3 linked regions of the Ovis aries genome follow. The protein of the gene in region 3 purifies or fractionates together with the protein of the main gene of each other region. This does not show direct contact. Links are inferred from orthologs where the notes say so. Each region holds a gene or a part of one and is shown on either strand. Other genes may lie near its edges. The genes, in order: CDK2AP1, CHD3 and ZNF219.

The links.
Region 1: the proteins of ZNF219 (region 3) and CDK2AP1 purify together in Homo sapiens (affinity purification with mass spectrometry; 3 studies listed by BioGRID and IntAct, counting the BioPlex papers as one, with this or other methods). This does not show direct contact. The link is inferred for Ovis aries from reciprocal best matches to the Homo sapiens genes ZNF219 and CDK2AP1.
Region 2: the proteins of ZNF219 (region 3) and CHD3 purify together in Homo sapiens (affinity purification with mass spectrometry; 3 studies listed by BioGRID and IntAct, counting the BioPlex papers as one, with this or other methods). This does not show direct contact. The link is inferred for Ovis aries from reciprocal best matches to the Homo sapiens genes ZNF219 and CHD3.

Annotation. Positions count from the first base shown.
Region 1 is NC_056070.1:52,354,371-52,358,014, reverse strand, and holds part of CDK2AP1 (cyclin-dependent kinase 2-associated protein 1), read right to left. Parts: intron 3,248-3,644; coding exon 3,121-3,247; intron 425-3,120; coding exon 357-424; 3' UTR 1-356. UniProt on the Homo sapiens protein: Inhibitor of cyclin-dependent kinase CDK2. Also acts as a component of the histone deacetylase NuRD complex which participates in the remodeling of chromatin.
Region 2 is NC_056064.1:27,402,597-27,406,240, reverse strand, and holds part of CHD3 (chromodomain-helicase-DNA-binding protein 3), read right to left. Parts: intron 3,341-3,644; coding exon 3,163-3,340; intron 2,723-3,162; coding exon 2,657-2,722; intron 2,207-2,656; coding exon 2,121-2,206; intron 1,993-2,120; coding exon 1,859-1,992; intron 1,730-1,858; exon of another isoform or gene 1,590-1,729; intron 1,306-1,589; coding exon 1,161-1,305; intron 1,026-1,160; coding exon 863-1,025; intron 749-862; coding exon 627-748; intron 529-626; coding exon 393-528; intron 281-392; coding exon 179-280; intron 4-178; coding exon 1-3.
Region 3 is NC_056060.1:24,325,768-24,329,511, reverse strand, and holds the start of ZNF219 (zinc finger protein 219), read right to left. Parts: upstream 2,671-3,744; 5' UTR 2,589-2,670; intron 1,809-2,588; exon of another isoform or gene 1,263-1,808; coding exon of another isoform or gene 1,182-1,262; exon of another isoform or gene 1,160-1,181; intron 614-1,159; coding exon of another isoform or gene 467-613; intron 352-466; coding exon of another isoform or gene 241-351; intron 1-240. Other genes in the region: TMEM253 (transmembrane protein 253), read left to right, coding at 241-351, 467-613, 1,182-1,262. UniProt on the Homo sapiens protein: Transcriptional regulator. Recognizes and binds 2 copies of the core DNA sequence motif 5'-GGGGG-3'. Binds to the HMGN1 promoter and may repress HMGN1 expression. Regulates SNCA expression in primary cortical neurons.

The sequences.
Region 1 (3,644 bases), on a different chromosome or scaffold from region 3:
AATGTATTCAAAAGAAAACCAGACACTGGTATCTTAGAGTCAAAACTACTTTGCTGTAAGAGAGGTAACTTCTACGTGCATCTTTTGAATCAACGCTTTTAAAAAAAGAAAACAAAACCACAAACACCTGGGAAGTTCCTAACTATTTCAAATGTAACTCCTAATCAATTTCAAAATCTTTCCTCAATCTTAAAGAGACTGTAGATTCAGAGCCTAAGTGAACATGGGAGGGGCAGGGGAGGAGAAACTGAACTGGTTAACCATTTTGAAAACAAGAGTTTCATCTGAACAAGGGAGGTGAACCGTAACTTCTCCTCTGGGAAGAAGCTGGAAAACCTTCCAGGCTCAAAAGGCAGCTAGGACCTGGCGTTCCGCTCCGTTTCAGCCAGGCACTCCCGCACCAATCCTCGGGCATGGATGATGCCTGGAAGAGAAGCAGAGACGGGCGTCAGAGGGCAGCACCAACTCCAGGAGTGGAGAGCAGTCCTTCCGCAACCAGCTGCAGAAACCTCAGACTGGAGAGAACGTGGGACCTGCGTTCTACGACCCAAACCCCATCCTATCCCTCAAAGCCAACACTCCTCGTCACATCTCCCTTAAAGTATTTCTTCCCATACTCAAGATGACAAATCAGCAAGCTCTTTTCTTGACATTACTCGCTACACAAACCATGTTACCATCCAGATGCCAGGAATAAGTGTCTCCACCCAAGTTCTTTAAGTGAGGACCCATGATAGAGATTGCAGGCCAAGTCGCTTCAGTTGTGTCCGATTCTTTGCAACCCTATGGACTGTATAGTCCTCTAAGGCTCCTGTCCATGGGTTTCTCCAGGCAAGAATACTGGAGGGTTGCCATACCCTCCCTCCAGGGGATCGTCCCAACCCAGGGATCGAACACACATTTTGTCTCTTGCATTGGCAGACAGATTTTTGACCACTAGTGCCACCTAGGAAGCCCACTATGGAGCTTTCAAACCATTATTTTTCCTAAATTCTACAAAGGACTTGGGAGTGTCAGATAGCCTGCCCAGATCTGGGCACAAGACGAAGGCTCACTCAGTCCACCCTGGTCCACTGCTTCATCCTTTCTGCTAGGGACTGGTGCCATCTACGATGTGATTTTCCCCTCATCTTTTATCACTATGGTTTGGGAGTTATCGTTTGTTTGGGTTTTGTTTTTGTTTTGGCTTTACTAAACTTCATGAAACACTTACTTCATTTTAATTGACACCAAGAATCTATTCCTCCTAAGAGCTGACCCCGAGAGGGCCCTAGGAATGACACCCCACATCACTCAGGTATCCCCACCTCACAAATCTTAATCCCCAGAGCTTCTGAAGACTTTGAGCAAAGGGCGTATGTACAGCCAACCATCACAGCTGCTGCACTCTGCCATCATACCATGACAGAGCCAAGACATTTCACATTCCAACAAGTCTCTGCTTAAACCCTGAAGTTTGAATTTCGCAGAATTTTGACATGTCACAGAGTTTTTTTCCATCGTTAAAAACCACAAATAGTTCAGTCTCAGGTTTTGGCACCAAAAAACAAAACAAAAAACATAAATAGGAACTTCCCTGGTGGTCCAGTGGTTAAGACGCCACACTTCCACTGCAGGGGACGTGGGTTCCATCTCTGCTTGGGGAACCAAGACCCTGCGTGCTGCGTGGTGCAGCCAAAAAATAGAGTAATAAAAATACAAATCGCATTCTTGGTGCCTGATTCCCCATGCCCTAGGACCCTCCTTCCTTGCTATGATGTAAACTTGGCAAGCTCTCTCAGCTACTGGTCAGGGCAACTGTGGGACTAGGTGCTCACCCAGGATGTGCCCTGCGCCAGTTGCTAGGTGTATCCATGTGTTGATCTGAACTGCCAGCTTTGCTGGGTGGCTGCAGATAGCCCTTCAGACAGACTCTGGGGCTCAGCATTTCCTCAGGCATGCCCAGTTAGGTAACCAGCACTCAGTTTACCAGGACTGTGGGCTGAGTGATGCCCCCATGACCCCTGCGGTTGGGCTGGGGTCAAGCTCATTCTCTCCCCCAAGGCCTCTTCCAGCCCCTACTGCCAGCCTCCCCTCCCTACACCAATGCCTGTTATTCTCTGATCTGGCTTTGCAATCAGTCTCTTCACATAGGTAGTCACCACCTGTCCTCAGCCAGCCTTGCCCATCACTAGAGCCGTGGCTTGATTACCACCGTGGCCCCCCTGCCGTCACGCCCCAGATTTACAGCCACAGAATGTTCCCCTCTCGTTTTTCTCCAAAGTTGCTTCTCTAACCTTAAAAAAAAAAAAAAGAAAAGAAAAAACCCTCCTAAAATTAAATTCGCACATAAGCCACCATGCTCTGAACTGCTACCTTCTAAAATAGAAATCCTTTTCTCCTCTCCTCTCCACTCCCCTTTCACTTCGTGAAGCAGCAACCAACCTATTTCACTGCCTTCTGAAGTCAGCTGGCCAGTCACATCTTCACGTGAGTCCCTTCCTCCCGGTGACACCAGCCTTCCGCCCTCCCTCCCTCTTCAGTCACGAAAGAACTTCAAAGTGCTCTCACCCTCTGCCCCACACCCCTCCTTGGGGCCCTGCTCCAGAGAGGACAGCACAGGGCAATGCAGGCCCCTTTGGCCCCAGGTCTCCCCCCTAGGGGGGGCCCGCTGTACTGGGCTGCCTGGGGCTCCCAGGACCAGAGTCGGCCAGTGGGAGTGAAGCAGGCATGAGGCAGAGCTGCGGGATCTGGGCACAAAGGCTTTTTTGGGGGGGTTGTGCAGCCTATGGGATCTTGGTTCCCCGACAGGAATCGAACCTGCACCCCTCTGCAGTGAAAGCATGGAGTTTTGACCACTGGACCCCACCCCGCCCAGGGAAGTCCCAAGGCTTCCCTTCTCAGATGCCGCATCTGACAATTGGCCGCCAAGCCTCTTCCCTTCAGATCCCCCAGGAGGGTCTAGCTCATGTTGCCTCAACAGTCACTCTGAAACAAAATGAGCGCCCCTGTGCCACAGGGGATGCTTCTGTCTGCCACCCTCCGTTTTCCCCAAAAGATCTTTCAAGACGAGAGCCAGTGCCGGGGGTCAGCCAGCAGAAAGGCATCACCCACCAGGGGAGTCCAGGGTCCATGACTTACCTCGTTTTAGTCTCTCCATCGCACTCTTGCTGCCCGCATAGGTGGGTCTGATCTCCTTCCCCAGCTCTTCGATAATGGCCAGCAGCTCAGCATATTTGCTCTGGGGCACCTGGCTGTTCCCAGTGCCCTGCAATCAGAAAGCAAAGTGTTCAGAAGGATTACACCCAACCTGACCCCAGTGCCACAGTCAGGACCCCAATGCATGCCAGTGGCACAGGGCAACAACTACAGACCAGGGAGCTGGCCCTCTCTATTGTCTCTGTAACTCAAGGCCACCGCCCAGCAGTCTCCAGAAGGCCCTCTGATCATCTCAAATAAGGAAAAAAGAGTCAACAGAAAGGTGATCATTGAGAATTTCCTGGAAGGAGCCACGACTAGGCAAGTGATCCCAGGAGAGCTGGGGATCCAGGGTGAATGGCTGAGATGGACGCCACACCTGGGGGTCAGCAGGACTAGAAAAACTGCCAAGGCCACCCAGACAGAAGCCAGCACGTATTTAGAGTCTCCCTCCTCCCCACACTGGC
Region 2 (3,644 bases), on a different chromosome or scaffold from region 3:
CTGCTGTGGCAGACGGGGCAGAGCTCACATCTCGGGGGACAGTCTCCACCCGGGTCCCAGGACTCCTCTCTGTACTGTACGGGCCCTTGAAGAGCTACCCACCCAGGCGTTTGGTTCCCCAGATTCCACCTCCCCTGATCCCTCAAGGACCCAGGGGTCCCATTCTTCCACCCATTACCTCTCTTGCCCAAATCCCCTGTCTCCCCCTCCGGCCTCTCCCTGTGTTCCTGTCCATCCATCGGCTTCTCCTCCCCCCTCTCTCCTGGCGTCGACTCTGTGGCTGTGGGAGGGGGCAGGGGACAGGAAGGAAGGATGTCACCCTCATCCCCTGACCCCAGAAGAGGGAGCCCCCAAATTCTAAGCCCCAATCACACTTAAGGCCATGCACCCACCTGACTTCTCTCTGTCCCCCCGGTACCCAGGTTCAGGCTCCATCTCTCCAGGTACCCCTGGCACCTCATCCTCTAGAGGCATCTTCCTTGGCTCTAGCCGCTCTCCCAGGGATGGGGATGGGCTGGGGGTATCAGCCTGGAAGAAGACAGTGGAGTCAGGATGACCTGGAGGGCTCTAGGCTCCCACCTCCAAGGCACTGCCACTGCCTCCAAAGCAGCCAGGCAGCCACACACCTCTGTCTCCATCTTCTCCCCAATCCTGCTATTCTTTTCTGGCTTCTCCTCCTGGTTTTCTGCTTCATCCTTCTCCAGAGGTGTCCTTATGCCATCTCCTTTCTCACTGGGAGCTGGAGTAGCTGCAGGGGTAAGGCAGAGTGAAGAAGGCAGGAACTCCCCACCCCAGTTCCACGCCCTCTGCATCTGATGGAAACTGGCCCCGTCGGTCTCTCCTGTCATCCTGAGCTGATTACCAGGTTTCGAGGTGCAAGGGCTGTTTGCAGCCGAGGCCTCAGGAGTGGTAGGAGATGTTTTGGTAGGAGAGGAGGCTCTGGAGGAGCGCTTGGAGTCAGCACTGGGGTCAGGCATCAGCTCTGGCATAGACCAGCGCCCATTGATGTGCTCGAACTCCTGTACCTACAGGGTGCAGGGGGTTGCAGAACAGGGATCAGTTCCAGTCTGGCTCCCGGAGCCAGGGATAGAAGGCTGAGGACGCATGGGGCCTAGGCAGCCCCTCTGACCTGACTCTTTGGGTGAGGGGAAGACCAATACCTTTTTCTTGACGAGAGACATGACTCCAATGCGGGTCAACACTTGCTGGCGACTCAGCCCCTCCCGAGGGACTCCGTCAGCAAAGGTTTCAGAGCCGTCTGCCCCAGGCTCACAGAGATGGCGCATGAACAAAGACACATAGGCCCTAAGGAGCATGCGGGGGAGGTGGGTCAGGAGAACCTTAGGAGGGGAAAGGACAGTGAAGGGGGTACAGGGATGACTGAACCCTGAACCTGAGCTCCCCAGTACCTCCAGGGCTCGTCTCTGGGTCTTTCAATTTCACCATCATGGGCTCCCCCAAATCCTAACTCCCCCGCCTGCCCCCCCCCACATTTCCATGGCCCCCGGCCCTGGTCCTTCACTCTTAGGCCCCATCAGTCTGCTTTTCATCCTTCCCACCAGCTCCCCTGCTGGGTTATCGTGGCCAAAGCATGTGAGGCAAGGACAGTCCAGGAGAGGCTCCTGTCTCACTTGCCTCTCCCACAGCAGGGATTGCCTGGCCTCTCTGCTCTAGGCTCAGCTGAGGGGAGGTGGCAGAGGCTGAGCCCACCCCCTAGGAAACCGAGCCAGGCAACATCTGGCAGGGAGCATGGTGATCAGGTGAGTAAGGTCACATCATATGGCGGCCGAAAGGAAGAAAATAACACCCAAAGCTCCTGCCCTTCCCCCCAGCTCAGCCCCAGGTCACCCACACTCACTTGAACTCTTTCTCAGTCTTGCCTCTGAGGTCCCGCACCAGCCACTGGGTGGTGAAGGCGTCCTGCGGGGGCATGCCCCAGCGCATCACCGCATTGAGGAAGGCCTTCCGCTGACGGGTGTTGAATCCCAGTACCTGAGGATGGGGGCAAGGAGGGAGTGGATGATGAATGTCCAGGGCCTCATTTCTTGGTCTGTTCTGCCCTCAGTGACTCAGCCTCAACTCCCCTCATTCTCTCCGCTGGGGCCTAGGCCAGCTCTCACCTCGATGTTGCCCCCAACTCGAGCCAGCAGTGGAGGCAGTGGCTTATCCTTTTCATTCCGAAGCTGCCTCTTTGACTGTCGACGCCCTGGTGGGGAGATGGTGACCCTCGTTAGTAGACCAGCATGTCCTCCACCCCTCAGTCTTTCCTAGCTCTCCATGTCCATAGGACATGCAACACAAGGAATGCCTGTCATGTCTGAGGCACTTCTAATTTTCTTCCCAGAACTACCAACCCCATAGGTCCAAAAGAATCAAGTCATTCTAAACAATCAGTAGCAACTATTTGATGCAAGCCAAGATTACTGCTGGAGTGTAAAATGATGTAACCTTTCTTGATCTCTCATCTAGGTGTCAAAGCCTACAAGGTAATATATTTCAAATTTTAGCAGTAACGAAATTATAGATATTTTCTCCTCTCTGCTTATCTGCAATCTTTACTTTTCCTACAAGTGAGCACTCTATAAAAACAGTAGGCTTCAAAGACAATGGGAAGTGAAATGGGAAGAGGTGTGGGAAAAAGGAAAACAGATGCCACCTTCAGGACGCTCATCAAAGTCTTCATCCTCCTCTTCTGATCCCACTGAGTATTCTGACTGATTATCTGTGAGGAGAAAGGCTCAGTGGTCAGTGATGGCTCCCTGGATAAGCCCACATGGGGCCCTTTCTGCTTGGACACCTCCCCTCAGAGACTTTTGCACCTTCACTCCAGCTTTGGCCCTCCTAGAGATGCTGGAGGGCTGCCCACAATCTGGGCTACATAGCAGGTCCACTCACCCCCACTGCCTGACACCTGCATAACCCACTCTAAACAAAGGCCCTTGGGTGTCCATCAATGCCCTCTGCGACTGCAAGAGCGTTCAAGTCACCTCAAATCCACCTGGCCTCCAGGGAGCCCCTGGTGACCCCTCCTAGGGTCTTAATCTCTTTCCCCTAAGAAGGGAAGGCCCTGACTGCTCAGCCACTCATTTCCTCTCAATGCCCCCAGCCTCCAAGCCCCTTCTCAGCACGCTCCCCTTCTCCCCTGTCGGGCACAGTCCTCACCTTGGTCCTCCTGAGCAGCGTCATTGTAGTTGACCTGCTTGCGGACCCGCTTGCCCTTGCCGAGGTTCCGCGCCAGGTCTTCCTGCTGTTGCTCATAGTGGTGCCGCAGCAGCTTCTCCCAGTAGTCGGGGTCGACGTTCTCTTCCTGCTTGATGATCTCTCGTTCAATTTCCTCAATCTGAAGGGCAGCAGGACCCACACTGAAGACCTTGCCCCTTTACCCAGCCCCACCACCACCACGAACCCGCTTTCCTTCTGCAGCCCAGCCCCAGACCTCGTCACTCTAGACACATAAATCCTCCAGACGCGGCACGCTATCCTCACCTCTTACCTACAACTTGCTTCTCCTCCCATTACTTCTCTTTTCTAAGCCTCTCCTCCAGTTTTCTATGCCTCCCTCCTACTCTACTCAGAAGGCAGCCTTCCAAATTGATCACTACATTCTGTGCCTATGTTTTCTCCAGTGTCCAGTCTCATCCTTC
Region 3 (3,744 bases):
TACACACATGCACATCTCAGTCTAGGAAGTGAATTTCTAACTGTTGACTAATTATGTCAGCTCTCTGCCCATGACTGGCCTAAAACCCTGAGGGGGTAAAATAAGAAAGTTAAAGGGCTGATGGTCTTGTTTGGAGGTGGAGGAATAGGAGCTGAGTTTTGTTTTCAGCTAGGCTACAGGTGGGGCTTGAGGTTCCAATGAGTCCCCTAGGCTGGCAGGACTCAACTGGCTCACTGGCAGGTGCGCGCCATGATGATATTCAACACCTTTAATCTGATCTCGGGCTTCATCGCATTGGTGGTTGAGGTGATGAAGACAGCCTTGATGTCTGCCCGAACCATCCCCTCCGAGGTACAAGTGAATAAAGGAGAATGTGGGAGGATGTGGAGGCAAGAGGAGGGGAAAGGACAAGGGCAGATAAGTGCAGGGTCCCCTGCAGCACACCCTCAGCCCCATCTACCTACAGCTAGCTGGCTTGTTGGTGCTGGAGCTCAGCGCTGAGGCCTTCACCCTAGGGGGAGTGCTGGTCTCAGCATACTCCCTGTTCCTGCTGAGCCAGAGGAAGCCAAGATGCTGCAGAAGCCAGAGTCTTCGCTACCAGGAGCTACAGGAGGTATTGAGGGCTGGGAGGAAGCAGAGAGCTAGAAACTTATTTTTTCACTGGCTATTCTGGTCAATGGTACTTAAGGGAGAATAATGTGGTGGGGCAGGAGGGGTTGTTAAACTGAAACTTATTAGTTTTCTGGCTTTGGACATGTCTCTCCTAGTGATGGCTAGGAGACTCAGATGGTAAAGCGTTTGCCTGCAGTGCGGGAGACCTGGGTTCGATCCTTGGGTTGGGAAGATCTCCTGGAGAAGGAAATGGCAACCCACTCCAGTACTCTTGCCTGGAAAATTCCATGGACTGAGGAGCCTGGTAGGCTACAGTCCATGGGATCCACAAAGAGTCGAACACGACTGAGCGACTTCACTTTCCCTTTCTCCTAGTGATGAGTAACAGGAAACTGAGTATCTAAATGGTTGGGGCTAGAAATGTGGGAGAGCATTAGGAATGTGACTAAATACTGGAAGGACTATGTGAACATAAGGGAAAAAATGGGAGAGGAGGAAGCTGCATCTCTCTGGGATTCCTCCTTTCTCACCCTTGATGTTTGCTCACCTCACAACTGTCTGGTTTTCAGGGCCTCTCAGAGTTGGAGGAAGTTCCTGAGTTGGAGACTGGTCCCACAGTGGCTAGCACAGCAAAGAGAACAAATGAGTGAGCTGGCAAGTGGAAGCAGACATGTGCTGCCCTCCTATCCGATGGGAACATTCTCCAGACTCTCCTGCACCGCATCCCCCTGAACTCCAACTAGATGGAGTCCCCCGACACATACATGAAGTCTTGTGGAGTGCCTTCAATTTTCCCTCTGACTAGGCCCCTTGCTTTACCCTTCCCTGCTGGGGAAAGCAACACCTAGAGTGAGTCTGCCATCACCTCACAGCCCTGAGAATCTGACTGCCTGCAAGATAAGACATCCTTAAACTAACTTTCAGCTAGATCCATTTCCTCCCTTCCATTCTTACCCACTGCCTCCCCAGCTTCACATCTGCCTCATCTCACTGTTTCCAAGATTTCCACCTTTCACAATCCCATTCACTCCAAACCCGGGTTCCTGTACACGCCCACTCTCTGAGATCCATTCACCACTGGTGCTTCCGTTCTCTCACTTCGATCTGGTGCCTTTCTACTCTAGCAGAAACTACAAATCCCAGGATGCCTCGCCGCCCCGTGGCCTGCTGGGAAATAAAGAGCCTTTCCTTCTGTGGTGGGGGCGCTGTGCATCTGCTGAGTGACGCGAGGCGCTGGAAATCTGGGCCTAGACGAGCGTTTCCTCGGACGCGACCACTGGCCCCGCGTGCAGGGAGGAGCCGGGAGGGCAGTTTTACACGGGGGCGCCACCACTCCAACCTCGGTAACTGAGAACTGACTGGGGTTCTATATTCCTCCATCTGGTAGCTTCGGAGACCGGCTGGGGTTGAGGGCTGCCCCTCGGCAGAGCTGGGGTTTCCCAGATGCTGTCTCCGTGCCCCCTCCCACAGTGCCCAGGTCCAAAGTCCTGAGACTTGGAGCGCGCGCGAGAAAGGGGTTGGAGATGATGAGTCAGAAGCCCAGGGCCCTGCTCATCCCCCTCCCCCGGGGCCTAGGCGCCTGAGGAGGACGGACTGGCTGGGCAGACGGGGTGGACAGGGCAGGAAGAGGGAGGGACACGGCGACCCAAGCTAAGGTTTTCCCGCCTCTTGTGAGCTAGCCGGTGTAACGATCCCGCGTTGCAACCACCCTTTCCAAGGCGGGAGCGATACTGCGCAGGCTCAGCCTCTCGGCAGCCCTGCCGACCTTTGATCGCAGCTGCGGCGCGCTTGCAGAAGCTCTGGTTGTGCGCAACCCCCACCGTTTATGATCTTTGCAATTGTGCAAAAATGGCAAGTTCAGGTGGGCTTGAGAAAAGCCCAGGAAAACGAGGGCACCCAGTAGCACCAACCCGACAGCTTGCTAGCCGCTAGAGAAACTAGAAATTGACCAGAGCTGCAATACTAAGAAAACTCACCCCAAATTCACATAGTGCCGGGATGGGTGTGCGCCTCACACTCATTTTTGTTCCCACTTGAGAAGGCTGCTTCTCCAGACTTAACCAAGCCCAGGCACCAGTGAGGAAAGAGCGCAGCCTGGCTGCATTGCCCTGACATTGCAGTGGAGCCCGCTGTTTGTGACACCTTGGGAGTGGTAATAGTTGCCCTATGACAAGATTGTGTGAGTATTAGTGGGTGGGGACAGTTCTGGGATTAGGCTGTGGAATGAGGAAACAAAATCTCCCTCACTCCCCCAGTCTAAATGACAGAATAATGGAGAGCTCATCTGTGAAGCACTCACAATAATTTTCCTCAAAATCAGAAGGTGGTGGTAGCTGAAGAAGCTAGGAATAAAAGTCAACAATTCATTCTTAACTGTCTTCCACATAGGAGCAACAAGTTTTAGGATATGATCAGATATCTAGGAATTGCATTTTAGTTCTTGGAAAAGTTCAGTTACCATGCAGATAAACCTTGTATCAGGTTAGACTAGGTTGTGCTGTGGTAACAATGCCAAAATCTCAATGGCCTAAACCCACAAAGGTTTACTCTCTGGCAGGGTGCTCTGCTCTTTGTAAATTATTCAGGTACCCAAGTCCATAGACCACCACCATTATGAGATACAACCATGTCAGTTCAGTTCAGTTCAGTTGCTCAGTTGTGTCAGACTCTCTTCGACCCCATGAATCGCAGCACGCCAGGCCTCCCTGTCCATCACCAACTCCCGGAGTTTACCCAAACTCATGTCCATCGAGTCGGTGATGCCATCCAGCCATCTCATCCTCTGTCGTCCCCTTCTCCTCCTGCCCCCAATCCCTCCCAGCATCAGGGGCTTTTCCAGTGAGTCAACTCGTCGCATGAGGTGGCCAAAGTATTGAAGTTTCAGCTTCAGCATCAGTCCTTCCAAAGAAATCCCAGGGCTGATCTCCTTCAGGATGGACTGGTTGGATCTCCTTGCAGTCCAAGGGACTCTCAAGAGTCTTCAACACCACAGTTCAAAAGCATCAGTTCTTCGGCACTCAGCTATCTTCACAGTCCAACTCTCACATTCATATATGACCATTGGAAAAACCATAGCCTTGACTAGATGGACCTTAGTCGACAAACTAATGTCTCTGCTTTTTAATATGCTAT